Stegostoma tigrinum: one gene and its partner. The main gene of each other region encodes a partner of the protein of the gene in region 2 in a complex. Links are inferred from orthologs where the notes say so. Each region holds a gene or a part of one and is shown on either strand. Other genes may lie near its edges.

What was found.
Region 1: the proteins of mchr2a (region 2) and pmch are in contact, whole or in part, in a cryo-EM structure (PDB 8WST), measured with the Homo sapiens proteins. The link is inferred for Stegostoma tigrinum from reciprocal best matches to the Homo sapiens genes MCHR2 and PMCH. Residues at the interface, in NP_001035269.1 of Homo sapiens: His82, Gln92, Trp93, Gly96, Gly97, Thr110, Asp113, Gln117, Ile175, Phe177, Val181, Ser183, Cys184, Ala185, Phe186, Leu188, Thr189, Ser190, Pro191, Val194, Tyr197, Thr198, Tyr267, Gln271, Asn274, Met277, Glu278, Gln279, Pro280, Phe284; in NP_002665.2 of Homo sapiens: Leu151, Arg152, Cys153, Met154, Leu155, Gly156, Arg157, Val158, Tyr159, Arg160, Pro161, Cys162, Trp163.

What each region holds. Positions count from the first base shown.
Region 1 is NC_081371.1:60,123,893-60,134,688, forward strand, and holds pmch (pro-MCH), read right to left. Parts: upstream 4,695-10,796; 5' UTR 4,659-4,694; coding exon 4,443-4,658; intron 3,683-4,442; coding exon 3,436-3,682; intron 402-3,435; coding exon 352-401; 3' UTR 13-351; downstream 1-12. Other genes in the region: parpbp (PCNA-interacting partner), read left to right, coding at 1-2. UniProt on the Homo sapiens protein: MCH may act as a neurotransmitter or neuromodulator in a broad array of neuronal functions directed toward the regulation of goal-directed behavior, such as food intake, and general arousal. May also have a role in spermatocyte differentiation.
Region 2 is NC_081357.1:48,883,703-48,893,817, forward strand, and holds the start of mchr2a (melanin-concentrating hormone receptor 2), read right to left. Parts: upstream 4,423-10,115; 5' UTR 4,097-4,422; intron 3,593-4,096; exon of another isoform or gene 3,490-3,592; intron 2,765-3,489; exon of another isoform or gene 2,258-2,764; intron 1-2,257. UniProt on the Homo sapiens protein: Receptor for melanin-concentrating hormone, coupled to G proteins that activate phosphoinositide hydrolysis.

The DNA of each region.
Region 1 (10,796 bases), on a different chromosome or scaffold from region 2:
AGTATTTTATTTCTGTTCTCCTTTCAAAATCAGATGAGGTGTTTCAAATGTCAAATTCATGATCACATTTAATTAGTGTGAATTTATTTTCAAAATATAATACACAGGCAACTCTCATGATTATGAATGCAGAAAATCTAAAACTTTTTATTTCTTTTTGAATACACTAACTAACTAGTTCAGTAATGAGCAATTTCAGCTTAAAGCTTTCACTGTCTAAAGCATGGAGAATAAATCACACAAAGGACTAAGTACACAGTTTCAATCACTTATGAATGCACGGTCACAAGAGTCAGATAACAACAACATGTTAAAGTTTCACCAAGGATCTTGAGGCTCTTGCACAGTTGGTCAGTTTTGCCAGCAGGGTCGGTAAACTCTTCCAAGCATGCAGCGGAGAACTGTGAGATTTAGGAAGGAAAATAGAATGAGACCCTGGTGCAGCTTATTGTGTACCTTTTTTGGACTACCTCTTTTTCTTTTAGTTTTTACAAATTAACTAACTGCAAGGTTTTAACTCATTTTATTTTATATGCATGTTGATCATCTGAAGTAACCTGCATGAATATAAATGAGTCGGAGAGAGCCCTTGTGGTAATTTCCTTATTGCTGAGCTAAGAGATCGAGGCTCAAGTTGCCTCTCCTCCAGAGGTGTGTGATAATATTTGAGTCAGATAAGATGTCAATCACTGAGGGACGACCTTGGCAAACCTCCAAGGCTTGAACATCAATACAGTTAGACGTTTCTGAATATTACTGTGTCTATAGGGAAAATGTTACAACGCCACAATAATGGATTTGTATGTCCTTGAATTTAAATGAAGGGATAAACTAACTAATGTGGTTGAGACAATGGATTTTAAGCTTCCTCCTGGACCTGGTTAAAGTGGTCAACAAATTTAGGTATTGGGCTGTGGAGGGGGTAGTGATTTCCCACTGCCTGTCCCTCTTGTGTGGCACGGTGGCTCAGTGGTTAGCACTGCTGCCTCATAGTGCCATGGACCCGGGTTCAATTCCACCCTCAGGTGATAGTCTGTGTGGAGTTTGCATGTTCTCCCCATGTCTGCATTAATTTTTTACCAGGGACACTGGTTTCCTCCCACAATCCAAAGATGTGCAGGTTTGGTGGATTGGCCATGCTGAAATTGTTCCTAGTGTCCAGGGATGTGCAGGCTAGGTGGGATTAGCCATGGGAAAATGCAGGGTTACAGGGATAGGGTAGAGGGATAGATTGGTGTGGACTCGTTGGGGAGGCAATGGCCTAGTGGTATTATTAATCCAGAGACCTAGACAACATTCTGGAGACCTGGGTTTGAATCCTGCCACGGCACATGGTGGGATTTGAATTCAATAAATATCTGGAATTAAGAATCTATTGATGACTGATGTTGATTGTCAGAAAAACCCATCTGATTCACTCATGCCCTTTAGGGGACGCAACTGCCATCCTTACCTGGTCTAGCCTACACGTGACTCCAGACCCACAGCAATGTGGTTGACTCAACTGCATTCTGGGCAACTAGGGATGGGCAATAAATGCTGCCTGGTCGGTGATGCCCTCATCCCGTAAATGAATAAGGGGGGGGAAAAAAAGGCCTGTTGCCACACTGTAGGGATTTGAAGACTCTTCAGTTTATATGTTTGTGCCTGGGTGCCCAGGCACAGGTAGGAGCATCTGGTGCCTGTGAGGCAATTAGATAGTGATGGGCATCTTGGAGTTTGGCATTTTGTTCCCCTCTAACACCATTTTAATTTAATCCCCTCTGTCTCTTTTTTCCTTTCACGTCTGTTATTATTACATTTCCCCTGGCACAGTGCTCGTTAACTGGTTATCTGTTAAGTTGATTATTTGGGTGATTTGGTGGGTTACTTTTAAAAAGATGAAGGAACTGATAAGTAGAAACTCTTTCTCTGTTTGGGGTGTCTGGGAGAGTGTACAACATCTAAATTGGGAACAGGAATAGGCCATTCTGCTCTTCAATAAGATCATGGCTGATCTGTTCATGTATTGGATTCTCAATCCCATCTTAACACCCCTTTTTCCCCCATTAACCTTAGATTATGGGTAGGCAGGTGAATCAATTTACCACCTTCCTGGAAAACATTAAAGAACAAAGCAAGGTGGCTTAATCCTAAAGTGAAAGCCAGCTCATTTAGAGCTGCAGTCAGGAAGCACTCCTTCCCCATAAGGGGTTGTGGAAATCTGGAATACTCTGTTTAATCCTCCCAAAAAAAGCTCTTGAGCCTAGTTAGGGGTGGTTGAGTTTGGGAGTATCAAATGAAGTTTCCTAAACAAAACCTTCTAGATTTTAGTGGGTAGTTGGCATCCAGATACAGATCAACTTGTAATCAAATTGAATGACAGGACAGGCTTGAGGGGCTGAATGGTCTCTTGTTCGTGTGCTCTGATTTTGGAGATATAATTTGAATTTTGGTCCCTTGGCTCCGCAGATATATGTGGGAGCCAGCCCAACATCTGTATTTTACAATTGCCAGGAAGATAAACGCTCAGTTTCGTTTTGACCTGGGACAGACACAGAAAATAGGTGAAAGACTGGACCATTCAGCCCCTTTGAGCACCACCACCCACTATGCTTACAGCTGATCATGTAATCTCAGTATCCCACTCCTGTTTTCTGTCCATACATACTGATACCTTTAGCCACAAGGGCCATGTCCCAATCCCCCTTTAATATATCTAGACCAGCCAGACTTTGAATTTAATCTCTCATCTGCTAACTGACACCTCCAAGTGTGCAGCACTCCCTCAGTACTGCTGCCTCGTTTGTTTGAGGTCCTGTACCCAAGGGGTGTAAAAGAAGTGTTTGGCCATTATTGTGTTGAATGACAAGGCAGGGTTGATGGGCTGAATGGCCTACTCAGCAGTTGTAGGATTATAATCTTGCACCCTGTTCTGTTATTCTGATGTGCATGTCTGGTACGATCTGCTCATAAAGTATGTACGACAATGCTTTTCACTGCACTTCGGTACATGTGACAGTAATTATTCAAATCAAATAAAATCCTGTTCCTATCCCCAAGTTCAACACCAGGTTTTGACCTCCCCCCTGCTTCTTGGGTGGGTGCTAGGGCAATAATAAAAATGATGTGGCTTGTGTTTGTAAGTTACTCTACACACTGCTATGGGGTAAACTGTTCTGGCCCTTCACAGTTTTGGACAAATTAGAGCTGTCTGGAAAAGTGACATTCTGGAGTCAGTCACCACAAGAGGAGATAAAACTGTGAAATAATCTATCTACCAGCCACAGATGGCTACCGCATAAGTTTCAGAAAATGAAGCCAATTGATGTGAATCAAAATTAAAAATCAATGCAGATTGCTCGATAAATAGCACTCTGAACTTGCCTCTTTTTTTTTCCACTCAGTAACTACATATCACAACTCAACAGCTGTTTCAGCATGCCAAAAACTTACTGTCAAAATCTCTTCTGCCCACAGGAAGCACAGCCCCATTTTCTCCATCATTAGTGGCTCGATGTGCCTCTAACATCTCAAGCTGTTCCAGTTGATTTGAGCTTTCAGAAGCATCTGTCCTCTTAGCTGAGTGGTACGGTGGCTTTTTCATAGACTCATTTGAGATGAGAGGTCGTTTGAATAACCTCTGGCTAGCAGACATAAAAGGTGGTCGAATAATTTTGGGGTCCATCCTAAAACCAAAGTCCTAAACAGAAGGCGAGAGTGATGTTTTTAAGAACATCCCATGGTTGTTTCGAAGAATCATAATAAGGGCAAAAATTTAACATCGAGCGGAAGATTACACTGAGTGAACAGTTACGCGATCAATGACATTGACTTTTAAGACTATTTGAAACCAAAGGGAAAACTATTAGAGGCTGGACTATAAAGGCAGATAGCAGGCATTTCAGGGATGTGGCAAGTCTGCAGAATCTGGGATTTTTTTCCTTGCAATAGAGAAAGTGAAAGAAGTAGTAATTATGCTAGTGAACGAATGGACTGTGATGCTAATACAATATATAATAAGAAATTGTTTCCAGGAGATCCGTAACCAGGGGTTCACAGATTTAGGGTAATTGCCATTAGGTATAGTGCAGGAGTTGAGAAAAAAAATTCTGCTTCGAATTGTGACTTGGAATGTTTTACCTGTAGGGGTAGTTGAAACAGATTGAATAGGAACTTGCAAAAGAGAACTGGTTACATACGACAATGAATCAAAAAACCCTCTGGCAGTGGAAACCTTTCCCCTTATCTAACCCATTAAGCCCTCTTATAGAATGAGAGGGAGCTACTCATTCTCCAAATAACTTCTCGGTGTCTGCTTGAAGGCCCTTAATGCTGATGGAGCAAATAAATTTTAGCAACTTACATATAAACATTTTAGAGTTAATTGAATACATTTTCCTTCTGATAATGAAAGAATAAGTTACACATTTAAAGCGAGCATTTACTGTGATAAGTCATACCTCTGAGGTTACTTTGTCTGGCTGCTGGAGCTGGTAGATTTTGATCAGGCGTGAAGACCTCAGTTGCTCTAGTAGATCATTGTTTGCCAACATTTCTTGGTTAAAGTCTTTCTGTGGCACCTTGTCGTCTTCCAACTGCCCCACAACAGATGAAATGGAAGGTTCTACATTAAACAACACAGAAATAAAAAGAGCTATGTAAACGGTAGCATTCATTCTTGCACTGGTTCTGCCTCAAGCGAAAGGCAGTGTGCGTATGGAACCTGAGGCATTTCAGAGAAGCCCAATCTCCCTTTTTATCCTTTTACCATCATTAATAGACCTCCTGCAGAAACCCATCTAGCGGATCAGATGTGTTACATCTAGAAGTATGGAAGCTGATTCATCACCACAAGAGGTGAACTGATCATTTTCTTCAATCTAAATCCCTAATGAGTTTGTTTCAATTACAGACATCTGTTATCTAAATCAGCGGCAGTCTAAATGATTTATTCGCTTCATGAAAAGATTGGGATCTGTAAGGCCAAAAAGGAAGGTTATGCTTTTGTCTAAAGAATGACACATTAGCATATCTAATTTACAATACCAGCTTTAAAAGATCCTTGAAGAAAATACGTTCTGTTCTCTTTTATCATGAATGAGAAGTGAATATCACAGATGTTATGAATTGGACAAAGAAGGTGAGTTTCATAATGAAATCTTGCTAATCCTGGAAGATTTGTTTTTGAGTGTTTTGGAGAAGTACTTTTTAATCTATAAAACTTCTAAAGGTAAGAATAAAGAAGTTAATAAAATTTCAAAAACTGGTTTAAAAAATCAATCATCTAAGTTCTGCTCTGGTCCAATATTGGTAATAACCTCAAACACTGAACATTGGTAATCAGTTCCTTTACTGTAACAATTCAGATTAGGAACTGGAACAAAAACAGAAGTTGCTGGAAAAGCTCATCAGGTCTGGCAGCATCTGTGAAAGAGAAAACTGAGCTAACGTTTCAGATCCAGTGACTTTCCCTCAGCATCAGACACTGGACCCAAAACGTTAGCTCTGTTTTCTCCTTCACAGATGCTGCCAGACCTGCTGAGCTTTTCCAGAAACTTCTGTTTTTTGTTCCTGATTTACAGCATCCACAGTTCTTTTGGTTTTTAGATTAGAAACTGGCTTGTGTCATGACTATTTTGTCTTTACAAGATGGTTATTTAGACGCGGCAATTAATTTCAGATTTATTTATTTGTATAGTTTCTATATATAAAGGAACCTGAATCTGAATCTGAATCTCTTATTTCAGGCCAGAGCAATAACTTTTGTAATGGACCATTTTATAAGACAGTTGTGTGAGGTGATGGGAGGACTGACAAGGAAAACCAGTACGTATGAATGATAGCATCCTAGGATGTACAAATGATAAGAACTGTATTATGTACGTCTACAGATCCTTGAATGCAAACCAGACAGGTAGTAACAGAGGTAGGACGCCAGCAGTACAGAACCAATGGAGGTGCAGCAAAATGGCATACAGTTGAGGTGGAATTAGAACATAGAACATAGAACATAGAACAGTACAGCACAGAACAGGCCCTTCAGCCCACAATGTTGTGCCGACCATTGATCCTCATGTATGCACCCTCAAATTTCTGTGACCATATACATGTCCAGCAGTCTCTTAAATGACCCCAATGACCTTGCTTCCACAACTGCTGCTGGCAACGCATTCCATGCTCCCACAACTCTCTGCGTAAAGAACCTGCCTCTGACATCCCCTCTATACTTTCCTCCAAACAGCTTAAAACTATGACCCCTCGTGCTAGCCATTTCTGCCCTGGGAAATAGTCTCTGGCTATCAACTCTATCTATGCCTCTCATTATCTTGTATACCTCAATTAGGTCCCCTCTCCTCCTCCTTTTCTCCAATGAAAAGAGACCAAGCTCAGTCAACCTCTCTTCATAAGATAAGCCCTCCAGTCCAGGCAGCATCCTGGTAAACCTCCTCTGAACCCTCTCCAAAGCATCCACATCTTTCCTATAATAGGGCGCCCAGAACTGGACGCAGTATTCCAAGTGCGGTCTAACCAAAGTTTTATAGAGCTGCAACAAGATCTCACGACTCTTAAACTCAATCCCCCTGTTAATGAAAGCCAAAACACCATATGCTTTCTTAACAACCCTGTCCACTTGGGTGGCCATTTTAAGGGATCTATGTATCTGCACACCAAGATCCCTCTGTTCCTCCACACTGCCAAGAATCCTATCCTTAATCCTGTACTCAGCTTTCAAATTCGACCTTCCAAAATGCATCACCTCGCATTTATCCAGGTTGAACTCCATCTGCCACCTCTCAGCCCATCTCTGCATCCTGTCAATGTCCCGCTGCAGCCTACAACAGCCCTCTACACTGTCAACGACACCTCCGACCTTTGTGTCGTCTGCAAACTTGCTGACCCATCCTTCAATCCCCTCGTCCAAGTCATTAATAAAAATTACAAACAGTAGAGGCCCAAGGACAGAGCCCTGTGGAACTCCACTCACCACTGACTTCCAGGCAGAATATTTTCCTTCTACTACCACTCGCTGTCTTCTGTTGGCCAGCCAATTCTGTATCCAAGCAGCTAAGTTCCCCTGTATCCCATTCCTCCTGACCTTCTGAATGAGCCTACCATGGGGAACCTTATCAAATGCCTTACTGAAGGCCATATACACCACATCCACAGCTCGACCCTCATCAACTTTTCTAGTCACATCCTCCAAAAACTCAATAAGGTTTGTAAGGCATGACCTACCCCTCACAAAGCCGTGTTGACTGTATTTGATCAAGCCATGCTCTTCCAGATGGTCATAAATCTTATCCCTCAGAATCCTTTCTAACACCTTGCAGACGACAAACGTGAGACTTACCGGTCTATAATTGCCGGGGATTTCCCTATTTCCTTTCTTGAAGAGAGGAATTACATTTGCCTCTCTCCAGTCCTCAGGTACGACTCCAGTGGAGAGCGAGGATGCAAAGATCTTCGCAAGTGGCGAAGCAATTGCATTTCTCGCTTCCCAAAGCAGCCGAGGACAAATCTGATCCGGGCCTGGCGACTTGTCAATCTTAATGTTTGACAAAATTTTCAGCACATCAGCTTCGTCTATCTCTATCCATTCCAGCATGCACACCTGCTCTTCAAAGGTTTCATTCACTACAAAGTTTGTTTCTTTCGTAAAGACAGAAGCAAAAAACTCATTTAGGGCTTCCCCTACCTCCTCAGGCTCCACACACAAGTTCCCTATGCTATCCCTGATCGGCCCTACTCTTTCTTTGACCATTCTCTTATTCCTCACGTAAGTGTAAAATGCCTTTGTGTTTTCCCGGATTCCTTCTGCCAAGCCTTTCTCGTGCCCCCTCCTGGCTCTCCTCAGACCATTTTTGAGCTCCTTCCTTGCCTGCATGTAATCCTCTCTAGCTGAACTTGACCCTAGCTTCCTCCACCTTATGTAAGCTACCTTCTTCCTTTTCACTAGAAGCTCCACCGCTCTCGTCATCCAAGGTTCCCTAATCTTACCCCTTCTTGCCTGTCTCAGAGGGACATATTTACTCATCACTCCCAACAACTGTTCCTTAAACCGTCTCCACATGTCGATAGTTCCCTTACCATGGAACAACTGCTCCCAGTCTATGCTTCCTAACTCATGTCTAATCGCATCATAGTTTCCTCTTCCCCAATTAAATATCCTCCCATTCTGCCTAATCCTCTCCTTCTCCATAGCTATGTAGAATGTGAGGCAGTTATGGTCACTATCACCAAAATGCTCTCCCACCACAAGATCTGATACCTGCCCCGGCTCGTTTCCGAGCACCAAGTCTAGAATGGCCTCTCCCCTCGTCGGCCTGTCAACGTACTGCGTTAGGAAACCCTCCTGAACACACCTTACAAAAACAGCTCCATTCAAATCTTCTGCTCGAAGGAGGTTCCAATCAATATTAGGAAAGTTAAAGTCACCCATTTACAACAACCCTACTGCGTCCACACTTTTCCAAAATCTGTCGACCTATGCTTTCTTCAATCTCCCTGCTGCTATTGGGGGGCCTGTAGTAAACCCCTAACGAGGTGACTACTCCCTTGCTGTTCCTAATTTCCACCCATACTGACTCGGTAGGCAGATCTTCCTCGACAATGGAAGCTTCTGTAGCTGTGATACCCTCTCTGATTAGTAGTGCTACACCCCCTCCTCTTTCTCCCCCCTCCCTATTCTTTTTAAATGTTCTAAACCCGGGAACATCCAGCAACCATTCCTGCCCATGAGAAACCCATGTCTCTGTTATGGCCACAACATCATAGCACCAGGTACTGATCCATGCTCTAAGTTCATCACTTTTATTCCTGATACTCCTTGCATTAAAGCAAACACACTTTAACCGATCCCTGGAGTCCTCAACATTGACTCTGACTCTGACCTCGAGCAAGCCTCATGGCTTTAGATTATACATGGGCAAGGAAACTTCCTTCTGATTACCATGTACCATCCTCCCTTGGCTGATCAATCAGTACTCCTCCATGTTGAACAACACTTGGAGCAAGTACTAAGGATTAAAAATTGCTAAATGTAATCTGGGTGGGGATTTCACCGTCCACTACTAAAAGAGGCTCAGCAGCAGCCTTACTGATCGAGCTGGTCAGGTCCTGAAGGACATAGCTGCGAGACTGGGTCTGCGGCAGGTGAAGAGGGAACCAACAAGAGGGAAAAATATACCTGATCTCATTCTTACCAATCTGCCAGCTGCAGATGCATCTGTCCGTGAGAGTATTGGTAAGAGCGACCACCGCATAGTCCTTGCGGAGATAAAGTCCTGCCTTCACTTTGAAAATACCCTCCATCATGTTGTGTGGCATTATCACAGTGCAACATGAGACAGACTTTGAACCTTTCTAGCAACTCAGCTGGCCATCGTGAGGTGCTGTGGGCCATCAACATCAGCAGAATTGTACTCCGACACAATCTGTAACCTCATGGCCAGCATATCCCCCACTCAACCCTTACCATCAAGTCAGGGGTTTATTGGAGAATGCAGGAGAGCATGCCAGGAGCAGCACCAGGCATGCCTGAAGATGAGGTATCAACCTGGTGAAGCCACCAAACAGGACTACTTGTACGCTATCCTTTGTGTTATGCTTTTGGGTGGTTTTTGAGTAATTTTTTTGTTGGTCTGCCTCTAACCTTCCTTTTCCCATTGGCTCAGTTATTTCTTTAGGGCAATTTTCCATAATGTGTTATTTCACAGGACTGCATCTATCGCATTATAGCAGAAACCCCTGTACATCTACAGCTTCCCCTTTTATCTATCTTGCTTGTTAGCTCCTCAAAGGAATGAAATAAATTTGTCAGGCATGATTTTCTCTTCATATAGCCATTTTGAATCTGCTTGAGCATATTATGTAATTCTTCTGAATTATCATCAAACCCCTACAGTGTGGAAACAGGCCATTCGGCCCAACAAGTGCACATGGCCCCTCCGAAGGGCATCCCACCCAGACCCATTCCCCTACCCTAGAATTTTCCATGTCTAATCCACCCAACCTAAGCAACCCTGGGCACAATGGGCAATTTAGCATGGCCAATCCATCTACCCTGCACATCTTTGGACTGTGGGAGGAAAGCAGAGCACCGGGAATAAACCCACGCAGACAGGGGGAGAGTGTGCAAACTCAACACAAACAGACACCTGAGGGTGGAATTGAACCCAAGTCCCTGCTGCTGTGAGGCATCAGTGCTAACCACTGAGCCGCCGTGCTGACCTGTTCCACTATTACTTCACTTATATGTGACTTTGAGATAGTAGGAACTGCAGATGCTGGAGAATCTGAGATAACAAGGTGTAGAGCTAGATGAACACAGCAGGCCAAGCAGCATCAGAGGAGCAGGAAAGCTGACGTTTTAGTTCTGGACCCACCCAAAGTGTCAGCTTTCCTACTTCTCCGATGCTGCCTGGCCTGCTGTGTTCATCCAGTTCTACACCTTGTTTTCTTATATTTGACTTTAACAGCTTTCTAATTATAGATGTTAAGAAGACTGGCCAATAGGTATTTGTTTATGGCTCCCTTACATTTTAAATGAAGCTGTCAGAACTCAAGGGCCTCAAAATAATGGGGAGCAGATTTATGACTGAGCTGACGTAAAACTTCTTCAACCAAAATTTTGTGAATCTGAGGAATTCCCTGCCAGGTGAAATATTTGAGGCTACCTTGTTGAATGTTTTTAAGGCAAAGATAGATCAGTTTTTGAACAGCAAAGCAAGTAAGGTATATAGTGAGCGGGTTAGTACTTAGCTGAGTCCATGAAAAGATCATCCATGATCTTTTTGAATGGGGGGATGGGCTGA
Region 2 (10,115 bases):
AGGGCTGCATTATAAAGGCGTGGAAGTTATGCTGGACCTATACAAAGCCCTGGCTAAGCCCCACTTGGAGGAGATCTGTGCACCACATGAAATATTTACCTTGGAGAAATTACGATATGGCCTTACAAGAATGGTGGTTGGTCTTTGGGGATTAAGTTATGAAGGGATTTTACAAATTAGGTCTGTTTTCACTAGAATTTGAAAGGTCACGGGGTGATTCGATCAAAATTTGCAAGATATCAACAGGAAAAGACAGTAGATAAAGATAAACTATATCCCCTGGTTGGAGATTCTAGAACTAAGGGCCATGGTCTGAGAATAAGGACCAAACCAAGCAGGACAGATGTTGGGAAAGACTTCTACACACAAAAGATGGCAAAGGTTTGAAATCTCTTCCACAAATGACAGTTGATGTTGGATCAATTGTTCATTTTAAGTATTGGTTTCCTCTGCACCAAGGAAAAGAACCCCAGCCTTTCCAATCTGTCTTCACAACTGAAACTCTCCAACCCAGGCAACATTCTGGTAAATTTCCTCTACGCCCTGTCCAGTGAAATCACATCCCTCCTATAATGTGGACTTCATAACTGCATATAATACTCTAGCTGTAGCCAATATTACATACAATTTCTACTTCGCCTCCCTGCTTTTAAACTCAATGTCTCAGCTAATAAAGGCAAACATCCCATATTGCTTCTCAACCACTTTATCTACCAGTCCCACTACTGTAGGGACTATGAATACTACTTTCTTCACTGTTTACCACCCATCCATTTTCACATCATTTGTGAACTTACTGGTCAGCCCATATACATTCAAGTCTAAATCATTTACATACATCAGAAACAGCAAAAACCCCAATAATGATCCCTGAGGAAACCCACTAGACATAGACTTCCAGTCACAAAAGCACTCCTCAATCAATAACCTTTACTTCTTACCATGCAACCAGGATCCAAATTAATAAATTTCCTTGGGTCCCTTGGGGTGTCACTTATCTGCTAATCTTCTGTAATGTCAGCAATTTAAAAATGCAGGTTCTCCATTTATCTTTTTATTTTAAATGACTTTTTTCCCCCCAATTCAGTTAGTATCATTGGCCACTGTATATCTGGGAAATTCTGTAGGTGTTGTATGGAAGATCACTTACACATATTGGAAACATGTCATTTAATAATAAAACCATCAAGTCATCATTCATTGTGAAAAAATAAGTGAAGATAACACTCTGCAGATTACATGCTTCTAACATGCTGTTTTAGTGCCAGGCAATTGTAATTACACAGTTCCTCCCTAAGGTTTTCACTACTTGCTTGAAACTCTGCTCACAGTGGGTTTCCTCCAGATGCTCCAGTTTCCTCCCACAGTCCAAAGATGTGCAGATTAGGTGGATTGGCAATGCTAAATTGTCCATAGTATCCTGGGGTATGCAAGCTAGGTGGATTAGCCAAGGGGAATTGCAGGGATAGGAAGAGGTTGGGGGGGGCGCTGGTTGGCATGAACGGGTTGCTCCTTGGAGGGTCGGTGTGGATTTCATGGGCCGAACAGCCTGCTTCCACACTGTAGCAATTCTATTATTTGAAAACTAATACTGTCACAATAGGTAAGACACATTATTCCAAAACAATCCACAACATTCTAAATAACACAAACCACAACACTATAAAAAAGTCAGTTTACCCCATCTCCATGTGTTATGGGATTCTTTGCAAAATTCCAGGATAAGGATCCAAATTGGGATCTATATCTTCATGAAAAACTAATCAGTTCTGATGAAGAGTCACTGGACCCGAAACATTAGCCCTGTTTTCTCCCCACAGATGCTACCAGACCTGCTGAGTTACTCCAGCACTTTCATTTTTGCTGCAATCGGTTATTCCTTGTGCCATAACCTTTCTGTGCACCAAGTTTTACTGAAATCAATCCATTAGTTATTACAGACAAACACACAAAACAATGTTTCTGGCAAAGCTCAACAGGCCTGGCAGCATCCATAGAGAGAAATCAGGGTTAACATTTCAGGTACAGCAATTTCTGTTTTTGTTTCTGATTTATAGCATCTGCAGTTCTTTTGTTTTTCATTTAAAACAATATTTCTGTTTACCTTCCGTTGTGGAGGTTGGAACTGGAATACAATGATTGGTTTTAATAGCATTAAAACCAATTTAGGTTTTAGAAAGTGGTTTTGTTTTCAAATCTTTAACCAGGGTAAATATTTTATAAATCAACCTGTTCAGAGATATTATTACACACTTACTACATATGTAGGATTGGACCCTGTTCTCCCGGCTCAAAGAAAGGGACACCATCGCAGTGCTACAAGAGTTGTTTTTAACAAGGTGAAATGAATAACTGCTTTCGACATAGGAGCAGAACTAGCCCATTCAGCCCATCGAATCCGCACCGCCATTTCATGAGCTCACGTGATCATCTGATAATCTTCAACCTTACTTTTCCGTTTTCTCTACATAATTCTTAATTCCTTCACTGATTAAAAATCGGTTTCTCCCACCAAAGGAGAAACAGGAACCCTTTCCAAATCCAGTAAATACAGAGAACGTCATCAGAGACTCTCATTAAAACAGCTCCTCCTGCAGACCTGAAGCTCTTGATTGAAGAGGAGCCAGAACGTCCCTCTCCACAACTACGGCCAGATCTGCGGAGTTTTTTTAAAAAAACAAATTTTCAGAACTCTCTGGGGTTTTTGTTTACATTTCCGAATTTTGTCTTCCTTTACAGAGGGCAACTGTTACACTGCAACTTCCGCAACCTTTCCCGCTGTTCCACCGTTTCAATTGAACCGTTGCCCACCAGAAATTAGAAGCGATGGTGAATCTGCTGATCAAACTTTATTACTGTCCATTAGACCCTCAGGCCGATTGCGGTGTTCCATTGCTGACAAGATTGATGTAACTAGCAGTTTTACATAATCAATCAAAAAATAATTATCGGTTGTGCTCAAATTTAAATGGTTCACAGCTATACTTCATTGATATAAAACAAAGCCGACAATACATTGAACACCAATAAACAATACATATTTGATTAATACTGCGCTCGCTATGAAGTAGTTTAACCTGCTTTCCAGCATTGGGTTTCATCTGAGGGTTCTCCCGGGTTGAATATCCGCTGGATATTGACTATCCCGGAGGGTCAGCTCACTGACCTAATGAGGCTGATCATGCCCATTCAAACATAGCCCACAAACAAGAAGCATGGGTGAGGAGAAATCAGGGTATTCCTTCATTTAAACACAATTACCCTGACACGTCTTTTGAGTGATACTCTGCAGGTCGGCAAAATTGCAACCGTTAAAGCGACCCTCTATAAAATGTAAATATCTTTTAGAGAATATTTTGTTCAGGTGGAGCTGTTTCTTGATCTCATAGACCGTCAGTTACTTCCCTGATGTCTTTTGCTACCTTTTCGCTCCGAGTAATTCTGATGGGAAACTGCTGTCAACTACCTGCAGGAAGCTAACAAACTTACCTTTTCTGCCAGATTAGCTCTGGTACAATACCAAGTTCTTCATATTCTTTTGCTTTCCCAAATGCTGCTTCAATCGTGGCGCAAATCTGGTGCAAAGAGGCCGCCATTCTTTTCTTCAATGCACGCAAAAACATTAATTTTGCTGGCTGCCGATGGACTGTGACGCTGGTTTTGTTTTTGAGCATTCGACAGACGACCTAGGAAATCGCCAACTGCAGAAATCTCTCCCCGTTTCATTTGTACAATCGGCTGGTCAGTGAGAGCTATAGAAAGTTCAGGTTTATCTTTGGCGAACAGGGTAGCGGGCAGGAGTGATTGAAGAATTAGATCATGAGCCACCAGCCAACAAGTGCTAGCTTTACCTGTATGACCGGACCGTTACTCCAACCATAACTGGACTTGAAAGATTTACAATTATTTAATGTAGCAGATGTCTCCCAACAGTGAAATAAAGTAATCGTTCAAATAAAATAATCGGTGAAGCAAATAGATACACACGTTTGGTTATAACATAGGTAATGATAACATTTCTGATATTCTGTATTGACACTATATAAAATGCCCTTTCTTATACTTGTTCAGTTTATTGACTTAATTCGACCCTTACCTGCTTTTGGTGTCGGCGGAGATGTTTGATAATAATTCTCAGCTACAAGTCTTCCTTCTATAACCTTGTTGACGGGTTGCTGTGTGCAACATGTAAGGGAATGTGTCTCTAACAGCAAGCTGACACGCCTCCTTTCAGAGGTCAGCGAGAGTGCCGGGGAAGTGACAGGCCGCTGGGTTTGAGTAAGACCTGTCTGCGGGAAACGAGGTGATGAGGTTGTGTTTTCAGTGTTCTCAGCCCAGCCGAGCCTCGAAGAGATTCAGATGAGTGAAGTACAGATCATGCCAAGCTCTCTGCAACAGTTCACTCTCCACTCGCATCTGCTCCTCGCGATTTTTACAAGCTTAACCGAATGTCAATTATGTTAAGTGGTCAGCAGTATCCCGGCACCATATGTAGAGATAATTCCTTTCAGCAATGATGCCAGACTTCTAACTTTGTAATTGTGCAACACACTGAGCAGAAAGTGCTGGGGCGTGTCACCTTGCAGCTGAGAACTGCGACCTAGAAGTTTCTCCTGTCTATTTCCGTAGCGTTAATGAGAACTAAAGCTGAGGAGGCCATACAAAGCCGACTGAATAGACGCGCAGACAAATGTGATGTGATTGAAATGGCCGGCAGAATGAGGAGAGGTAATAGAAATGACTTGATACAGGTTTTCAATGGACACAGGAACGGACATTGGATGTGAACGTCCACAAGATTTTAAAGAGGGGAAAACAAAGTAAAAGCTTTGGCCGCGACCACTCATTTCAAACGTAGTTGTTTAACCTGTTGAGATTATGTTATGACACATCTCGGGCCGGTGGGACTTGTATCCAGCCCCCTTGATCATGACCCCACCCCTGGGCCCTAAACTATCATCTCCCAAACCATCCACAACCTCATCACTTCAGGTGACCTCACACCCCCACAGCCTCCAAACCCATCGTTCCCCAACCACACACGACCAGCTTCCATCTCCGTCCCAAAATCCACAAACCTAACTGCCCTGGTTGACCCATTGTCTCTGCCTGATCCTGCCCCACCGAACTTACCTCCACTTACCTGGACTCCATTTTCTCCCCGTTGGCTCTCTGCTTCTTCCTGTCCCACAGGTCTGACCAGTCCACCTCCACTGACACCCTCATCTGCTTAGCCGAACTCTCAACAACTTCTCTTTTAATTCCACCCACTTCCTACAGACAAAGGGGGTTCCTGCATGGGCCCAAGCTATGCCTGCCTCTTTGTAGGTTACGTGGAACAATCCCTCTTCCGTACCTACACTGGCCCTAAACCTCACCTCTTCCTCCATTACATCCATGACTGTATAGTCGCCACCTCGTGCTCCCACGTGGAGTTCGAACAGTTCATTCACTTCACCAATACCTTCCACCCCAACCTTAAATTCACCTGGACCATGTCTAATAACTTTCTCTCCTTCCTAGACACCTCTCTCCATCTCTGGCAACCACCTAGAAACCGATATCTGTTTCAAGCCCACTGACTCCTACAGCTACCCAGAATACACCTCCTCCCACCTACTTTCCTGCAAAAAAGTTATCCCTTATTCCCAATATCTTTGCCTCAGCCGCATCTGCTCCGAGGATTAAGCATTCCACTCCCATACATCTCAGATGTCCTCGTTTCTCAAGGACCGCAACTTCCCCTCCTCAGTGGTCGAGAACGCCCTCGACCATGTCTCCCGCATTGCCTGCAATTCATCCCTCATACCCCTTCCCCGCAATAAAAACCAAAACAGAATCCCCCTCATCTTCATATACCACCTCACCAACCTCCGGATCCAACGAATCATCCTCCAACACTTCTGCCGTCTGCAATCCAAACCCACCACCAAAGACATTTCTGACCCCCAACCCTTATCTGCTTTCCAGAGGGACCACTTTCTCTGTGACTCCCTTGTCCGCTCCACACTCCCCTCCCCTCCAGCCCCACCTCACCCGACACTTTTCCCTGCAACCGCAGGAAGTGCTACCCATGCCCCCTCACCACTATCCCAGGCCCTAAGAAGACTTCCCACATCAAGCAGAGGTTCACCTACACACCTGCTAATGTGGTATACTGCATCTACTGTTCCCGTTGTGGCTTCCTCTACATCGGGGAAACCAAGCAGAGGCTTGGGGATAGCTTCGCAGAACATCTACGCTTGGTTCATACTAAACAACTGCACCTCCCAGTCGTGCACCATTTCAACTCCCCCTTCCCTTCCACAGATGATGCTACCTGAAGGTTGCAGGAACAGCAACTCATAATCCGCTTTGGAACCCTGCAGCCCAATGGTATCAATGGGGAGTTCACAAGCTTCAAAATCTCCCCTCCCCCTACCGTATCCCAAAACCAGCCCAGATCGTCCTCACCTCCCTAACCTGTCCTTCCTCCCACCTCCCCCCTCCTCCCACCTCAAGCTCCACCCCCATCTCCTACCTACTAACCACATCCTGCCGCCTTGACCTGTCCGTCCTCCCTGGACTGACCTATCTCCTTCCTATGTCCCTACCTACACTCACCTTTACTGGCTCCATCCCCACCTCTTTGACCTGTCTGTCTGTCTCCTCTCCTCCTATCTTCTCCTCTATCCGTCTTCTATCCGCCTCCCCTTCTCCCCCTATTTATTTCAGCACCCCTTTCCCCTCTCCCATTTCTGAAGAAGGATCTAGACCTGAAATGTCTGCTCCTCTGATGCTGCTTGGCCTACTGTGTTCATCTAGCTCAACATCTTGTCATCTCTGAATCCAGATTTTCCCAGTTGGAGGAGGAGAACTCTTGTAACGCCAGAACAGCAGCTTGGAATATGTACTCATGTTTACACTGAGCCATCTTCTCCCACCCCTACTCTACCCACGACCTTCTGAAATCCAGAGAATTCCGGGGAAAGGTAAGGGTGGGGGAGATCAGGCAAAACAAATCTCTGTCCTTCAGCATCTGGTATGAACTCAGGTTCTAACTGCACTCAGGTGCACAGTAGAAAGAGATTGACAATGGGTTAGAAAACAGAATGCAGAGGACCTGAAAGGACTAGTTACAAAGTTCAGTAAAGTACAGTAGCTGACTGGTAAAAGTGGGTGTACTCTGGTGTAATCCTGAAAGAATGTACGGAATTTTGTCTTTTGGGTGAGACAATAAATCTAATCTGTTATCTGGAATAGATGTAAAATAGATCATGAGACTATTTTGAAAAAGGTTAGGAGATAGTCATTTAGAAATACAGAACTTCAAAATTGCTTCACAAAAATATTTTGTTGAAGCTTGTTCTCTTGAACTCATCAGGACAATTTGCAAGATGTAAAGTTAAAGACCCGTTTAGTGTGCCAGGGATTGTGATTTGTAGAGGCTATGAAGAATGCACCCATTAGATGATGACCGACAGTTAACTGCCAGATGCCAGGCTGGTTGACTCTAATTATTCAAAACAGTGCTCTGAGAACTGATCCAAACATTGGCTGTCACACGTGCATTGATTTGAAACCGATGCAGTGCGTGTATGTTATTTCTGTCTCCAAAGAACAGGGTCTTTGCATTAACATATATGATTTTCAGTACACACAAATGCACCGCATTGTGAACCTGACCAACAATCCTAAATTGATTGTCAGTGCATCCAGGATTTGTTTTCAGCAATACACAAAACCAGGGGAATTCTCTTTAGTCTCCTGACCAATATTTATTGATCAATTAACATCTCTAAAACAAGTTATCTGCTCATCATTGCTTTGTTGTTTGAAGATTCTATCTTGTGTATGGTATTATCTAGCTGCCTTGTTTCCAACATCGCCAATAGTGGCTACAATTTAAATGTAAAATTGTAAGAAATGGGGAGAGGGATAGGCCATTTCCACCATCAAGTCTTTTGTACCATTTAATAAGATCATGACTGATCTAAAGCTAGTCTGTACCCCATTGACCATAGTTTCCCTGTAAACTAAATTCCTTATAAATTCCTTGTCTAGCTCAGCCTTGAAGACATTCAATAACCCATTTTGCCTCATTGCTTTCTCAAATAGGAGAGCAATTGTTTTTAAACCATGCCCCCTAATTCGAGATATCTCCATGACAGAAAATATCTTCTTAACATTTACCTTGTTGATCCCCCTCAAAATCTTACATTTTCCAATGAGATCACCTTTTATTTTCGTCTATTCATTTGGAATCGCTGGCTAGGCCAGCATTTTTTGCCCTTCACCTACTGTTTTGCATGGGGAATAATGTACAAACATTAATATTTGGTCAAATGAGTATATCTCGGGGCCAGTATGAATCAGAGAAAAATGAACAACAATATTCTTCTGCAGTATTTAAGGAATTGAGGTAAAAACTGACTTTGAGGTCCAAGTGCCTATTATAAAAACTATAATATTTTCTTTCCCCTAAATAAATAAAAAGGATAGTGAGGATTGTCTACACGCAACATTAGATTTATGTTCTGTGATATGTGAAAATTATCTACAGATTTTTACTGGCAGCCACAATTTCTCCCCTAACCTATCCCCAAGATGTTACATGGTTGCAAGGGCTTGAATGGAGGGCCAGGAAGCTGGAAATATTCAGTCAGATTTGGACAATTATTGAAATCTGTGGGGCAGGCATGATGCAAAGATGGTCTAATATTTCTCTTTGCGCCAAATTGGCAAGTGTGTGTATTTGGTCCTCAACCTGTAAGTGTGACAGATAGAAAGGTATCACTTCTGAAATCTCCTGAGAGTGACTGGACAAGACAACAAAGCTTTCAGGGTAGGAACTGCAGATGCTGGAAAATCTGAGATAACAAGGTGTGTAGCGCTGGATGAATACAAGCAGCATCAGAGGAGCAGAAAGGCTGACGTTTGGCTCCTACAAAGAGTCTTTCAATTTCTCCCACATCCTACAGACAAAGGGAGTGGCCATGGGTACCCGCATGGGCCCAAGCTATGCCTGCCTCTTTGTAGGTTACGTAGAATAGTCCCTCTTCTGTAGCTACACTGGCCCTAAACCCCAATTCTTCCTCCGCTACATTGATGACTGTATCAGCGCCGCCTTGTGCTCCCATGAGGAATTCAAACAGTTCATCTACTTCACCAAAACCTTCCACCACAACCTTAAGTTCACCTGGACCATCTCTGATGCCTCTCTGTCCTTCCTGGACCTCTCTGTTTCCATCTCTGACAACCACCTGGAAACCGATATCCATTTCAAACCCAGCAACTCCCACAGCTACCTAGAATTCACTTCCTCTTATCCACCTTCCTGCAAAAAGGCCATCCCCTATTCCCAATTCCTTTGCCTCTGCCGCACCTGCTCCCAAGATGAGACATTCCACTCCTGTACATCTCAGATGTCCTCCTTTTTCAAGTACCGCAACTTACCCCCACTCAGTGGTCGAGAACGCGCTCGACTGTGTCTCCTGCATTTCCCGCAACTCATCCCTAACACACACTCCCCAAAATAACAACCAAAACAGAACCCCCCTCGTCCTCATGTAACACCTCATCAACCTCCAGATGCAACACATCATCCTCCGAGACTTCCGCCACCTGCAATCTGACCCCACCACTAAAGACATTTTTCCCTCCCCACCCTTATCTGCTTTCTGGAGGGACCACTCTCTCCATGACTCCCTTGTCAGCTCGACACTCCCCTCCAGCCCCACCACCCCCGGCACTTTTCCCTGTAACCGGAGCAAGTGCGACACCTGCGCCCACACCTCCTCCCTCACCCCCATCCCAGGCCCTAAGAAGACTTTCCACATCAAGCAGATGTTCACCTGCACATCTGCTAATGTGGTATACTGCATCCGCTGTACCCATTGTGGCCTCCTGTACATCGGGGAAACCAAGCGGTGGCTTGGCGACCACTTTGCAGAACACCTACGCTCGGTTCACACTAAACAACTGCACCTCCCAGTCACGAACTATTTCAACTTCCCCTCCCATTCCTCAGACGACATGTCCATCCTGGGCCTCCTGCAGTGCCACAATGATGCCACCCGAAGGTTGCAGGAACAGCACCTCATATTCCACTTGGGAACCCTGCAGCCCAATGCTAT